3 linked regions of the Cricetulus griseus genome follow. The protein of the gene in region 1 purifies or fractionates together with the protein of each later gene. This does not show direct contact. Links are inferred from orthologs where the notes say so. Each region holds a gene or a part of one and is shown on either strand. Other genes may lie near its edges.

What was found.
Region 2: the proteins of Htt (region 1) and Sqstm1 purify together in Homo sapiens (affinity purification with western blotting; 4 studies listed by BioGRID and IntAct, with this or other methods). This does not show direct contact. The link is inferred for Cricetulus griseus from reciprocal best matches to the Homo sapiens genes HTT and SQSTM1.
Region 3: the proteins of Htt (region 1) and histone lysine acetyltransferase CREBBP purify together in Homo sapiens (affinity purification with western blotting; 5 studies listed by BioGRID and IntAct, with this or other methods). This does not show direct contact. The link is inferred for Cricetulus griseus from reciprocal best matches to the Homo sapiens genes HTT and CREBBP.

The regions. Positions count from the first base shown.
Region 1 is NW_023276807.1:103,745,750-103,751,400, reverse strand, and holds the start of Htt (huntingtin), read right to left. Parts: upstream 3,221-5,651; coding exon 2,979-3,220; intron 1-2,978.
Region 2 is NC_048600.1:64,656,668-64,660,821, reverse strand, and holds the end of Sqstm1 (sequestosome-1), read left to right. Parts: coding exon 1-129; intron 130-493; coding exon 494-689; intron 690-2,123; coding exon 2,124-2,281; 3' UTR 2,282-2,957; downstream 2,958-4,154. Other genes in the region: Mrnip (MRN complex-interacting protein), read right to left, coding at 3,038-3,526. UniProt on the Homo sapiens protein: Molecular adapter required for selective macroautophagy (aggrephagy) by acting as a bridge between polyubiquitinated proteins and autophagosomes.
Region 3 is NC_048600.1:42,538,705-42,543,669, reverse strand, and holds part of histone lysine acetyltransferase CREBBP, read right to left. Parts: intron 4,271-4,965; coding exon 4,168-4,270; intron 3,695-4,167; coding exon 3,548-3,694; intron 2,910-3,547; coding exon 2,792-2,909; intron 2,134-2,791; coding exon 1,962-2,133; intron 1,520-1,961; coding exon 1,475-1,519; intron 1-1,474. UniProt on the Homo sapiens protein: Acetylates histones, giving a specific tag for transcriptional activation. Mediates acetylation of histone H3 at 'Lys-18' and 'Lys-27' (H3K18ac and H3K27ac, respectively).

The sequences.
Region 1 (5,651 bases):
TGCCTGTTGAAGCTTCTGTAGCCAGGTTTTCTATTTGGAGCCAAATGCAATAACTGATAACACCAATGTGGCTTTCCTCTACCCTTTGTCCCTCCCCAACAACACTTACCCTCACTTATTCCACCCAGAAAAAAAATGTCATCACTAATCCCCACTCAAGAAAGCTTTTGACAACTTCTCCCTGCAGGAACACTACTCTTCCATACACCCTCCTAGTAGATTCTTGACTCTTTAAAAATGTTTATTCCAAAAAGTCTTCAACTAGATATTACCTAAACATCCTGTCTAAAACAACACTTTAAGCCCTGGCATTTCCTAATTCCCTTCCCTACTTTACTGTACCTCATCACTTATTAAGATACTATCTTACTATATCCCTCCCTAGAATTTTAGCTTCATGAGAACATAACTGTTACCTGCTAAAATCCGCAGCTAGAATAATGCTAGGCAAACAGGAGATGATCAGCAAATATTGGTAAATGAATGACTACAATCAGGAAAAATGAGGTAGGAATCTGAAGAGTGAAAAAGGTTAAAAGTGAATGTCAACTGCTTAAGGCCCATCAGACCCCCCACAGCCAGTCCCAAAGAGCTCCTGCATCCTATACACTGATCAGAGAAAGGAGCTCTCAGCTATTTCAACAGAAGCCCACGCACGGCTGTGACACTAGTTCTCTGTAACACAATGAGAGCCATAAAAATAGAACAGATTTATTCTAAAATTGTTTTGGCTGGTCTCAATTTGGAGGAAAAGAAGGGGGGGGCTTTTAACTGAAGCAAGTGGACAAAAATGCCAAAATTGAAGCTTCCAATCAGTATGTTTGTTACTTATCATTAATGAACACCTGTTTTTCCAACAGCAAAGTATACAGAAACAGGAGATATATGCTTTTAGTTAAAATAAATACAAGCCTAATGCAGCTGATTATGGGAAATATTCCAGTTAGTTCTTGCTATACAGTGAACTAACAAGGTTTTAAAACTTTTAAAAGCTTTCGTTCCAAACTACTTTTGTCTATAAATAATTTAAAAATCTGTCCTAACATATGCCCAGATTTTATCTGAAAGGACACATAATGAGTAACAGTGCTTGCTACTGCGGACAGAGTTAGGCACTCAGGAGAATGGGGAGGGAGATGTTTTACTATTTAACCTTTCCTAACTTTGGAACTGGACCATGTTAATGAATTACTTATGCAAAAACAGATTGAATTTGTGCTTGAAGCAGCTGGAGAGAAATCACCCTACCCCACCCCGCCCCAACCCTCCCTTACAGAAGATATGAGGAATATGTGAACTTGCACAATTCCTAACACCCAGAGAGACAGAGTCGTGTTAAGAATCTAATAATTAGAAAATACTTATACAGCCAGGCATGGTGGCACATGCCTTTAATCCCAGCACTGAAGAGACAGGGGCAGGAGGATAGATATCTGTGAGTTCCAGGTCAGCCAGAGTTACACAGTGAGACTGTCTCAAAATATATTACTTATCTAAAGGGAAAGATTTTTCTACTCAAACCCTCTTTGACCTTATAGAAGAAAAATTTATTCCTATATTTTATTCTATCAAATAAGCCAACATTTTTCCCCAAATCTTCATTTAAAAAAAAACAACAACAAAAAACTAGATTCCCAGGGCAGCAAAAAGGATCCTATCAGAAGCACAAGAACAAGAAAAATTACTAAAAATAGGCTGGGAATATAGCTCAGTGGTAAAGCACTTGCCCAGCATGTGTGAGGCCTTAAGCTAAATTCCCAGCAACAAAACAATTTTTTTCCTAAATGAGGATTAATAATGGGATTCTTCAGTAGGTTGTTTCCTGAAAGTTCTCCTTATTAATTATAGAAATCCACATTAGAAATAAAATGTCCAGTTGAAAGGCCTGAACTGCAAGAAAGTACAGGGCTGAACACTCATCGTGGACTTCCAGGAAATGTCTTGATCATCATTTTCTTTTTTAAGACTATTGTTATTCATGGTCTCTCTTCTGTTTCAAATATTCTCACCAGTCACATGCAGCAAGCTTCTGAAGGATGACAAGATGTCAGCAAAGAATTAAATAGGAATTTTTTTCACTGGCACACAGAGTGGCCCATGTTCTAAAAACAAGTCTGACTGTAACACTGATAAAAATCATTCCCTGATGTAAACTGCGCATCACCAACATGTCCATTTTATTTCCAGCAGAAAATATAGGCAATAAATATCAATCGACATACATACATACACACACACACACACACACACACACACACACACACATATATATATATATGACACAGAGACATATAATTTTTATTAATAATCACACCTAAGTAACTCATCATGTACTTGACAACCACAGTTCATCCAATTACCTGCAGGCCAATAGGAGCATACAGAAACATACCTCTCCAGTGATGCTTAAAACCTTGTTACTACACTGTAACATGAACTAAACGAAACACCAGGAGAATATAAAGCGCCTGAAGTCACAGGCTGCTTCAAGTGTCACTTGGAAAAAGAATATCCAATTTGGATGGTTCACATTCCCCCACCCTCAGCACTCCCGCTGAGGCCTCCTAAAAGCATTATGTCATCCACTATCCGCACATCACTCGCGCTGTCCTGCGCTCCCAGCATCTAGGCCTACCTAAGGAGGCGACCCGGGAGACAGGTCTCGCCCTCTCCAAGTTCTCTTGGAGTCATGTGAGCCACAGCCCCAGTTTCTCCCGAAGACAGAAACAAGTTCGCTCCCTAACTTCACAAGCTAAGAAGGGCGAAAGCACTGGGGGCGAGACGCCCCTCGGCGAGTCCGCCGCAGGCCTGACCAGGCTCTGCCTCCAGTGAGGAAAGCTAAAGACCCCCACAAGGCGAGGACCCGGGCCAGGAAGAGGACTGGCGACCCTCTCTCTGGGCAGGGAATCGCGCTGGCTGTCTCCAGCACGCAGGCCAGGGGAGCGGCCCAGGGCAGGAGCTGCGGCGCCCGGACTCACGGTCGGTGCAGCGGCTCCTCGGCCGGACCGGGCAGCGGCGGTGGGGGCGGTGCAAGCGGTGGCGCCTGACCCTGAGGCGGCGGCTGAGGGGGCTGAGGCGGCGGCGGTGGTGGTGGTGGCGGCTGCTGCTGCTGCTGCTGTTGCTGTTGCTGCTGCTGCTGCTGCTGCTGCTGTTGCTGCTGCTGCTGCTGAAACGACTTGAGCGACTCGAAAGCCTTCATCAGCTTTTCCAGGGTTGCCATGACGGCCTCCTGCCCGGCGGGACAGACCCCGAAGGCTTGGAGCCTAGTCGCCCTCAGCGGCGCCACTTAGCAGCGGGGAAATGAATGGGGATCTGCGCGGCGGGCAGAAGCGGAACCAAAGCGCCCAGCCATCTTGGGCCCGTCCCGGCAACCCCCGCGGCGCCTGCGTCCTGTGACGTCATGCCGACGGAAGAGAGGCCACGCCGGATCCGCAGATTTGACAGGCCGAAGCGTCATTTTTCCCAATGCCTGGTTGTAAGCATGCCGGGCCTCTGCCAACTTGCTAAGAATCTCCGCCCCTACGATATGACCCCGCCCCTCTCCGGCAAACCAAGCCTCTGATTGGAGGGAGCGGGGAGAGAGCGTGATGAGGTAGGCGGGGCGGGTTGCTAGATGAGGGGCGGAGCTGAACCAAGAGTGGGTTTGAGGGGAGTGGCCGAGCACTAGATTAGGAGTTACAGGACAGAAAAAAGAGGCGGGCGGAGGAGTTGGCAACTCAGTAGGGTTTGGGGAGACATGGAAGACTAAGAGGTTGGAAAGGGGAAGGGCAGCAAAGAAATTTCCCTGCAGAAAGCCACCCATGGCGGTGGTGGTGCTCAGAACCCGAAACCCAGAGAGGCACTCATTGTCCGCAAGCTGACAGATGGCCTGCTATACAGTCCCGAATGCAGTATGCTAAGGGCTCCCTGAAATGAGAAGGGAACCAGAGTGACCTTTATGCAGGACCAAAGAACCCTTGTGATCCGTGGACCCCTGAAGCACTGGTTAGCTCAGACATGAAAGCCTATAAAAAAAAAAAAAAAAAAAAAAAAAAAAAAAAAGGCGGCACCAGACGATGTGCTGTGGAGGAAGCTGATAAAGGGTTCCAAACAAGTAGCAGTGCCTGCAGCCCAAAGAGAGGCTGGGGTTAGTGCAACTCTGATCGGACACTTCAACTTCACAGTGCTGGACCATGGCACTGCTCTGGTCATCAGCCAGAACCTACAAGGGGCCTCATCGCCACCAGAGCTGAGGTCCTTGTCTCCAGAATCTCCATCTCCCACTGGTGAGCAATTAAACAGGAAGCTTAGAATAGTATGGATACACCCAGCTCCTTCAGCCTGTCCAGCAAAAGGTGTTGGCTTCAGAGAGATCTGACTGGAGGTGATGCATTTAGTTAGGAACCCATTTAAGCTCTTCAGGCTACCCCTAAGACTCAAGAGCCCTATTCCATGGCCATGAGAAACTCCTCCATCTTCTCAAAATGGCCAAGTACACAGGAGCCAACACTACCCATGGGAGGTATAAGCAGCCAACCCCTGTTAAACTGAGGACAGCAGAGAAAGTCTTTAGAATTCCATGTCCCTCCAGTTACTAATGCCACTGTCCGCTGCATAAAGCCAGTGCCAGCTCCCACATGAGGCAAGTTCTAACAGCTGGTAGTTGCTAGTAGGCAGACATGGAAGGCCCAATGAGCCCTGCCTCTTAGCACTGTCTAAGTATGGGCAGCTGACTTCTGACTTCTAACCAATACAAGGCGAAGTTAATGGGATGTCACACTGTTGTTAGGTTACAAATGTAATTTTAGTCCTGCTCACTACCATCTTCTCAACTTGCATTGATTTTAAAATTAGATTTATTCTTTTTATGTGTGCATGTTTTACCTGTCTGTATCTGTTATACCACATGTTTGATGCCTGAGGTCAGAAAGTACATCAGATCCCCTGGAACTGGAGTTATAGGTGGTTGTGAGCCACCATGTGGGTGCTGGGAATCAAACCTGGGTCCTCTGCAAGAGCAACAAGTGCTCTTAACTGTTGAAGCATCTCTCCAGCCCCGATTACACACATTGAGAAAGAGCAATTGGCAAGACTGACAAAGAACTGCCCATGGTCAACATTCAGGCCTGATATTGGTGGTCTATCAGCCCACAAAGAAGTGGACTCTGCCAACATCACTAAAGCTCTAAGATGATTCTTTTGAAGCCATTCTTTCAGATAAGAGGGAAGTGGTACCAGACTGCCCACTGTGAGAAGCAGGCAGCAGAGGACTTACATAAGCTGGGCCCATAGACCCACAGAAACTGGGAGTCATCATTAGATATTTATATTCTCATAGTTCCACAAACTAAAAATTAAAAATCCAGGTGTTGGCAGAGCAGCTTCCACTTGAGGCTTTACACCATCCTTGCTCTGTGTCTGTCCCCTAATTTTTTTATAAAAATGTAACTGGATTAAGATCTAATAGCCTCGGTTTATCTCAATACCTCTTTAAAGACTCTCTCCAGGACTTAGTGGTGCATGCCTGTAATCCCAGCAATAGACAGGTTGAAGCTGGAGTATTTCAAGTTCAAGGACAGCCTTGGTTACAAAGTGAGTTCCAAAACAGATTGGCTGCATATCAAGACCCATCAGGAGAGGGGAGAGGCCACCATCTGTTCTCCAAACAGACC
Region 2 (4,154 bases), on another chromosome or scaffold:
AAGTGCAGCACTCAGCCAAGTAGCTGCTCATCAGAGGTTAACAAGCCTGACGAGGCAGGCGAAGGCACTTCACAGTCCCTGACAGAGCAAATGAAAAAGATCGCCTTGGAGTCAGTGGGACAGCCAGAGGTAGGTCTGCTTTCTCCCACTAGCTTTAACTGACCTGCTTGGCATCTTGGCTTCAGCCCAAGCCATTCTGCAGCCAGAGGGATCCTGTCCTTCCTGTTATCCCTGTGGTGTCTCCAGTCACTCTGAGCCTTCAAACAGAACTCTGTTGAGAAAGACTTTCTTGGATCTGGAGCGGTAACTCATTATGAGGCATTTACCTGATATACATGAGGTCCTCGGTTCAACCCCTATCGTTACGGGAAAAAAATCAGACAGACATGTCCTTTGCAGGCAGCTCTCTTTGCCATACTTTGCTGGGAACAGATCGTGGGGTCCCACTGGTCAGTCACTTAGACCCCTGTGCTCACAGCAGGTTGTATTCTAGGAACAGATGGAGTCTGATAACTGCTCAGGAGGAGATGATGACTGGACACATTTGTCTTCCAAAGAAGTGGACCCGTCCACAGGTGAACTCCAGTCTCTACAGATGCCGGAATCAGAAGGGCCAAGCTCTCTAGACCCCTCACAGGAAGGACCCACAGGGCTGAAGGAAGCTGCCTTGTACCCACATCTCCCACCAGGCATGTGGTCACCAGAAGTTTCATTTTCCTTTGCTTTCAGAGTATCCTAGCCCAAGTCTGGTTTTGGTAACACAAAATGGGGTAGCATGGCCTAGGTTTTTTTTTAAATGGCAGTACCTAGTTGTGTAGTGCAGGGTAGCTTTGGGATTGTAGGCTTGTCTGCGGCACACTCCTTGGTGGGGCTGTCAGTTGACATCAGAGAAAACTAGAAGCTGGTCTGACCTCTTCTGTTTGCATCCAGCAACAGTAACCTCATCTCATTTTAAGTATTTCTAAATCTCAATACCCAGATGTTCTGAGAAGGCAGATGTTACAGGAAAGGCAACACTGGTTTGGGCTGCTTTGTACCATGAACTGAACTCAAACCCTACACACCATTTCCTCAGGGGGTTGCAAATTTTAATGGCAAGCACCACAGTCAAGGCCCTAGTAGAAGCCAGGCAGAGTATGGAAAATGCTGGACAGGAGTGGCTAATCCCAAGTGTACACCCTGCAAGAGAGGCAGCCTGCTCCCAGGCTAACGGTGTTCAGGTGGCTAACTTTTCTCCGGGCCAGATTTGGCCTTGGGGCTTACAAACTTATTTTGTGCATGAGAGCCAGAGGGGCAGCAAACTGGTGCATGAGAGTCTGGGAAGGGGCTGTAATCATGAGTTCAAGGCCATCCTGGCTACACAGTGAGACCTACCTCTGTATCTCCATGGCAGACTGCTTATCTCACTTGCAAGGCTCTGGACTGGAGTCAGACTAGAGCAGGGGAGCTGAAGAACTGGCTCATCCAATAAAGTGCTTGCTGTGCAGGCGTGGCAACTGTGTCTGTAGTCCAGCATGGCAGAAGGCAGACAAAATCCCTTCACAAGCTGGCTAGCTAGATAGACAAGCTGGAGTTGGCAAGCCATGAGTTCAAGTGGGGAGCAACAGAGGAAGACTCCTACTTCAGCTCTGGGCTGCCACACCTTCACACATGCATGTACACCTACATAGGAATATAAGTACATACGCCAAATAACAACAGAGGGTGAGGAATCAGAGGCAGTTAGAGGAGATTCACGATTCACATTTTATTATCTTTAAATGGTTTTTATTTGGGTTGGTTTTGCGATGGTGTCCCACTGTTGCCCAGGATGTCCCTGAATGATCTTCCTGCCTCCTCTTCTTGAGTGTTAGAACTACAGGCTTGAGCCACCACATCTGGCAATAAACTTAATTGGAAAATAACTGCACTCATTTGTTTACATACCTTCTGGCTGTTTATGCTACAATGGTAGAGTTGAACAGTTGTGACAGACTGGAAAGCCTACAAAACAGGGCTGTTTGGCCCTTTAGCTGGCCTCTGAGGGTTCTTGTGAGGCCTAAACAGGGCAGTCTTCCTGGCAGGCAGGACTTGCTATGTTTGGAGTGCTGCAGGGTGCCTGACTTTCCTGTCTGTTTTGGCAGAGGCTGATCCCCGACTGATCGAGTCACTCTCCCAGATGCTGTCCATGGGCTTCTCTGATGAAGGTGGCTGGCTCACCAGGCTCCTACAGACCAAGAATTACGACATCGGAGCTGCACTGGACACAATCCAGTATTCAAAGCACCCTCCGCCATTGTGACGGGCTTGTGCCGAAGCCCTGTGACCCACCCCCTTTGTCTTGTAGTTGCATCAAGTAGAGCAGCAGGGCCTCAATAGGGCCAGTTTCTTAGCATTCTTCCAGAATCTACAGGTGGGAATGTGTGAAGCCTTTAAAGCAGTAGGAGAGTGACATGAGGGGACAGTTCCAAGAGTGTACATGCTGACGCCTGAGAACAGACCCAGGTACTTGTGGCTGAGCTTCCCTCTGCCTTCCCTGAGCCTGGCCTTTGCCAGGGAGCTGCAGAGGTACACTGCACTTGCTCTTACCGCCAGCATTGCACCAGCAGTCAGAATTCTTGTCTGATGACCTTCTGTGTTTTCTTTGTTAAAAGTGATTAATACACTGACAGTTATTTTCAACAAATAAAGCTATTATGTTAAGAGGGGGCTGTCCACAGTAAGTCAAAGGTGGCGGGCATTTGGGGCCTCTGGCTCCTGGGGGATGGAGAACTCTTGAAGTCAGCTGAAGGGTCTCACCATATACTTTTTAATGATTCACACTTAGTTTTCGTTCCAATGTTAATGCTTTTAAATGAAACCCCATGTAGCTTTCTCTGACTTGATTTCTAAATGACCTGTAATTAAGTGGCATATGCACTTTAACCAACCCTGTGGTCCTTATTATTGTTGAACAAGAAAAATCTGTTTGACAGGCATATTTATTTGTTCGGGTTATTTGTTCTAAAGCACCTCCGCCTGTGGCATGGAGGACCCATTACATGAGTCAGAGTGAAGGTTACAGGTCATCCTCAAAGTCCTCCCCAGTTGTAAAGAGGTTGTGCACTGCTGGGGCCTTCTGTGCCCCTTGAGCCAAGGGCCTACCATCTGCTTGAGGAGTCCCCATGGCCCATGGCTGCTCTGGGGTCTTCCTGCCAGGCCCCTCTGGCTGGGGTGTGGTAGCGGGAGTGGTTTGAGGGCGCTGGACAGTGTCAGGGGCCCTGCTGAAGTGGCCTTCCCCTGGAGTCTTGGCATCAAGGGTCCCTTGCTCAGCTTGTGTTGGGTCAGCTAGCCTGGTGCCCTGCAGAAATCTTGATGGGTTCTCATCCACATGTGGGCTGTTTCCAGGTGACAGCAGAAACCGTGCCCATTTAGAAGATTGGGCCTTGACCTGCAGGACAGGACTTGGTAGTTTCCATCTAGGAAAACCAAGCTCCCTGATGTGGGTTGCAGCCCCGAGGGCAGAGCTGCCAACTTGTCGCTCTGTCCCTAACAGGCCAGTGGAGTCCTGAAAAAAAGAGAAAGGGTTCTGTTCAGCTTGGCAGGACTGTTGGCCAATCCCTGCAGGCTAGGGACATGCTGTTACTGTGAGGTCTAACAAGTCCGTTTCTAAATGCCCCTACCTTACCCTGATCTGATAAATCCCATGACCACATTTCTCCCATAAAGGAGACACCTTGAGTGAGCCATCTCCTGGGATGCTTTGGGACAGGCCAGCAGTCCCCATGAGGAGGTGTGAGCAGGGAGGGGCCTATACTCCACTACCTAGAGATGCAGTTAGTTCATCAAGCCTGTTTGGTCCCAGCTAGGCTGGAACAGCTCTTCAAAGCTGGACTGAGGGTCAGGAGCCCAGGTGGCTGCACCGAGGTCTCTGGGAGGTGACAAGGTGCTGAGCCTGGCTTCTTCCATTTCAGAAACCAAAGACACACAAGAAACTGGGTTTCACTGTTTACAAAGGAATTTGACAACACTGGATCTTGCTTCCTGACTGCCCAGATAATGCTAAAAAGACCATCACCCTGACTATTGATCTTGGCTCCACTGACATTGCTGTGAACTCACTGAAGTTTCAAAAGTCTTAGTTCCTCTAAAACAACAGACTGGTGAAATTGAACACTGAGTGTTTGGTCTATGGT
Region 3 (4,965 bases), on another chromosome or scaffold:
CGTCTTGGCTACGTAGATACTATTGTTAGAATCTGTGCTAAGACTCAAATGAGCATCTCAATTTTGCAAGTAGCTTCAGTAGTAAGTGCCCAAAGGCTACCCTCAGCCTCCACTTGTTTGCTGAAACACACCAATAACAAAGGCTCTGTTGGGAAGTATCTTTCAGATTACAGGGACTAGTTCATAGTAACTTTCTATAAACTAAGCAAATTGTGGGCTCTAAAAAAATCAAGTTGTTCTTCTATCCAACACTGTAATATAAAAGAATTCTTTAAAGTTTTTGAGAGACCTTGCCTCACCATTGCTATATTCACAAGAGGATCTTCTTATACTTTCAGTGACTGTCCAAAACTGCCACCTTCAAATGGCCAAATTCCAATAAGGCCCAAGTGGACTTTCCAGGGAGCTTATAACATAAAAGTCTCCTCTCCATGACAATTTTGTGCAGATACTGAGAAACAGCATTGAAAGAAACCCACATTCTTAGGTACTGATATTGCCAGCAAGAAAGTCTGGCAAGTACTGACCCAGAGAATGTCTCTTACCATCTGTAGCTAACTAGTTATCTTGTCAGATCCCAGCTCAACTGTGGCTCCCTATCTAGATCAATGTCCATGTACCCATAAGCATTTAGCTACACTGCTATGGCTCAATTTTCTTAACCACTTGACTTCCTCTACCCCTCAAATCTAATACATCCAAACAAGTTCTTGGCAAGTTTATTCAGTGTCTGTTTCAGTGTTCAATAACACTGTTACAACTTCAAATCACTTACCTGTCCCTCTCAAACTGCAATGCCTTACTTTACCATCTGGATAATGTCCCCACTTTATTTCACAACTTGGAGCAATACCCTGATATTCAAGTCTCAGTATGTCAAGATCTAAAGAGCGTACAAATACCCCCTAGCCCTGAAGCCTTATCTACTCCAAATGACCACAGAATCTTGAATTGAGCGATTAATGGTTTAGACAGCTATCACTACTCCAGCCAGGCATGGAGCTATGCACACAGCCTCCTGTGGTTGATAATTACTCAGCAACTTCAATCCTGATGGCCTGAAGCAGCACTGTACCTTCTGAGTCCCCAAGTACTTGAAACCAACTGGGTTACAGACTCTCAGGCTGAATATTCAGAAAGGCCTTTTCCTTCCTAAAATATGGCTCTTTTTATAATCTCCTAATAATGTCTCCCCTGTTTGTTTTTGTTTTCTGGGGGGGGGGGTGTTGCTAGTCCAAAATCCTATTTCTGACCTCTTTGGAAAAAGCTCCTCTAATTTCCAAATTTTAAAAAACAGGCTAACATTATTTAGTGGAATTATTTAGTGGACTATGTTCTTATCAGAAAAGAATGGAAAGTGCAAAAAAAAAAAAAAAAAAAAAAAAAAAAAAAAAAAAAAAAAAAACAAAAGGGAAAATGGGGGATAATTTGCTAACATTGAAAGTTAAAGTAAAACACGGCTGACAATAAATACCTTGAGAAACCTGCATTCGATTCACTGGCAGAGGCAGTGGCCCATCTACAAGGGAGAAAAAATTAATTAATTGAAAGGGGGGTGGGAGTTATAAACAAGTTAAAAAAACCCAATAACTTAGCAGCAAAGCCTTTAAGAGGCCTTCCTATACCAAGCAGTGGTAGCACACACCTTTTAATACCAGCACTTGAGAGGCAGAGGTAGGTAGATCTCTAAATTCAAAGCCAGCCTGGTCTACAGAGTGAGTTCTAGGACAGTCAGTGCTCTATAGAGCAAACCTGTCTCAAACAACCAAAAATGAAGAAAACAAAAAGAAATCTTCCTATGAGGGAGGCTCAATGTCCTCACAGGACACTGCCATACAGAAAGCTTCCAAAGCACAGACTTTTGGAGAACACAATTGTACATTCTTAGACATATACCCCAAAGACAGAAGGAAAACTAAGCAGGCAGGCTAAGAGCTGGTAAAAAGAAATACAGTCCTTACTTGGAGGTCTCACAGACTGAGTTGGTGGAATCACAGGGGGCTGAGCCCCAGGAGCTGGCAAAGCTGGCTGGTTACCCAAGATGCCTTGCTTATGTAAACGTGACCTCCGTTTTTCTTCTAGTTCTTTTTGTATTTTATAGATTTTCTCTGCTAATAAATGGTAGTACTCATCCTAAAAAAGCAATAATATTCAATATTAAGGAACTGAAAAATCTAAGAACCAGTCATTTATTTTTATGTTCTAACTAGCAATGAATGAACTCTTTTTATTCATTCATTTATTCACACATTCACATTTTGCTGCTGGGGATCAAACTCAGGGCCTAAGAAGGCACTATACCGCTAAGCACATTTTAAGTACATTAACAAAGGTTCGACACATTTAATAAACCAAAGAATCACCACCCCAAATTCCTAGTGATGTCAGCATACCCTTTAATTTCCACTTTACTGAACTAGTGACTTTACTAGATACGACCAGTCGAAGGTGCTAAATACAGTTGTTTATTTTTTCTGCACAAATGAGCTTTTTCTTGGGTATTCACTGATACTGGCAATAATATAATAGAAGAATCCTAAAGAATACCCACGGTGAAAAGAGATGACCCAAGGGTACATACACTTTATCTAATGCATCCTCTGTCCTCCTATGATATTTGTGCTTCATTCACAAAAGGGCTGTACAGGAATCTCATCCTTACTGGGACATGTCTGTTCAAAGTCTCAAGGTAAGGAGTCTCCTATATCACACAGATTCTCCTAATTATGGGTAAAGAACTAGACAAATATCATTTCCCACCTATAGGCTCAACAATTGCTTGACAACCTACCCTGCTGTTAGCAGACTCATACATGTCCCCCTCTACTTTCTTAGCATAGGCGACCAGGTTCTCCATTCGGCGATCCTTCAGAGCTGCAGGATCAGGAGTTGGGAAGATGGCTTGGACACTGAAAGGACAATATACTAGATCAACCTACTTTCAAAGTGGTCACAGCAGAACTCTCTTTGCCTTGTGCATGAACAATGGAAACAATACCAACCTTTAACCTACATAATAATCACAAATGTGTTATATCATTTTATGAAAAGTATGATTCCAAATCTCTATTTTGAAACTGTTCATTGTAAACAGATCAAAATAAGGAAGAATCTATAGTTGATTCACTTCAACTTAGGAGAGGTAGTTTGAAACATTACTTTCTGTATGTAAAATAACTATGTGGTCATACCATACATATTCACCAGAGCCAAATTTCCCCCAAGTTTTAGGGAACTCTATAACTAGTCCTAAGTAACTGAACACACGTGAACTCAAAAGCAAAGAGGATAGGTAGGCTTCCGGTCACGTCTCTAACTGTCTGATGCCAACATACAATAGGGCCCAGAGTCTGGGAAACTCAGCCTTCCTAGGACTCTCTACAGTGGGGATTGGTTTCTGAAACAAGCATGGACCCTTTGCAGCTAAGAGCTATAAACTGGGATTCAACATGCAAAGGAAAAAACAAAACCAAACATCTATGCACCCATAAAGATTCAACAATGCCTCAGCCACAAAATGTGAATCTGACTGATGAGGGTAACGTACAGTTTATGCACTAGATGGCTCCTCAGGTCCTGAGTCACATGTTCATGCCAGCTTTTTCGAACACCGGTGCTGGAAGGAGGTGCTGCAGTAGGTATCGTGCTGAGGCTTCCAATGTTACCAGAGTTCGAGCCATCATTCATTAGTGGACTAGAGAGGGAAATAAGAACACTTCATCCAGCTACTCAAGTGAATCAATCAAATACACTCAACCTTCTTCAACAATATGTGACTTAAAATGTTTAAGAGAAACAAGTAATGTATATCAACCAGAATTCAATCTGTTTAGTTGGTTCTGTTTTACATTTATCATTTAAAAAGAAAGAGAGGCTAGACAGACAGCTCTGCTGTTAAGAGTACTTGTTTCTCCTTCAGAGGATCAGATATCCACATCAATGGCTCGCAACAGCTGGTCACTCTAGTTCCATGGAATCCAACACCCCCTTGTGGGACTCTTTCTCCCCTCCCTCCCGCTCTTTCCTGTCTCTTTAAAAATATGAGAAAAGAAAAAATAGCATGCATTCCCATTCATTCTCTGCCACATGTGGAGTTTTGTATAATTCCCACCCATTCTTATACCCACTTGTTCTTCAGAAACGATCTATTTGAATCTTTAGTCTTACTTGGTGGCCCCCAAGGATGTTGGAAGAGCTGATTCTGAAATCAAGTTTGGTGGCTGCTGATCTGTTGTTATTCCACCTGCTGGAATACTCATGGGGTTGTTTCCTTTAAAGACAAAGAAAAATGAAATCAATCCCTACACTATACACACTTCCAAGTTCCTATAATGGCTAACCAAGTGACTACATAAAGAACTCAGATGAAGGATACCAAGATTTAGTAGGACTCTGGAAGCTACAATTTTCAATTGTTGACTAACTTCAACAAATTCCACTGTCAATTTTTCCCATTTTTACTCTACAGCCTAAATAAAATGTGTCTGGAGGTTGGCTAGTGTCCTAACTGCATATGCTACAGAGAAAATGATCACTGATCATGTGCAGTCTCCAACTTTTCTGTTTCATTAATATCAAACTCTCAACAACTACACTGACCTTTCTGGAACATACCTATGTATTGGGGTTGTTCTTACATGTCAGAAAGTAAACTAAGTTTATGGGAAAATTAGATTGCCTATAATCTTCATATTAAAGAAAAAGATGCAACTGAGAAAGATTAATAGGATTTCTCAAATTTTACCATAAAACAGAAGGAGAGTAGATAGAATTTGGGTATTAGGGTTTCAACCCATTCTCCCAGCCATTATTAATCGATAACCATTTAGGTGTTTTCCAAAAGTAACACAGAGGTGATTTTAATTGGTCTGTCTCTGCCCCGCCCCCTTTCTCTCTCTCAGCAGTGCTGGATATCAAACTTAGGGCTTCATGCACACTAAAAAACAAGTGCTCTACCACTGAGCT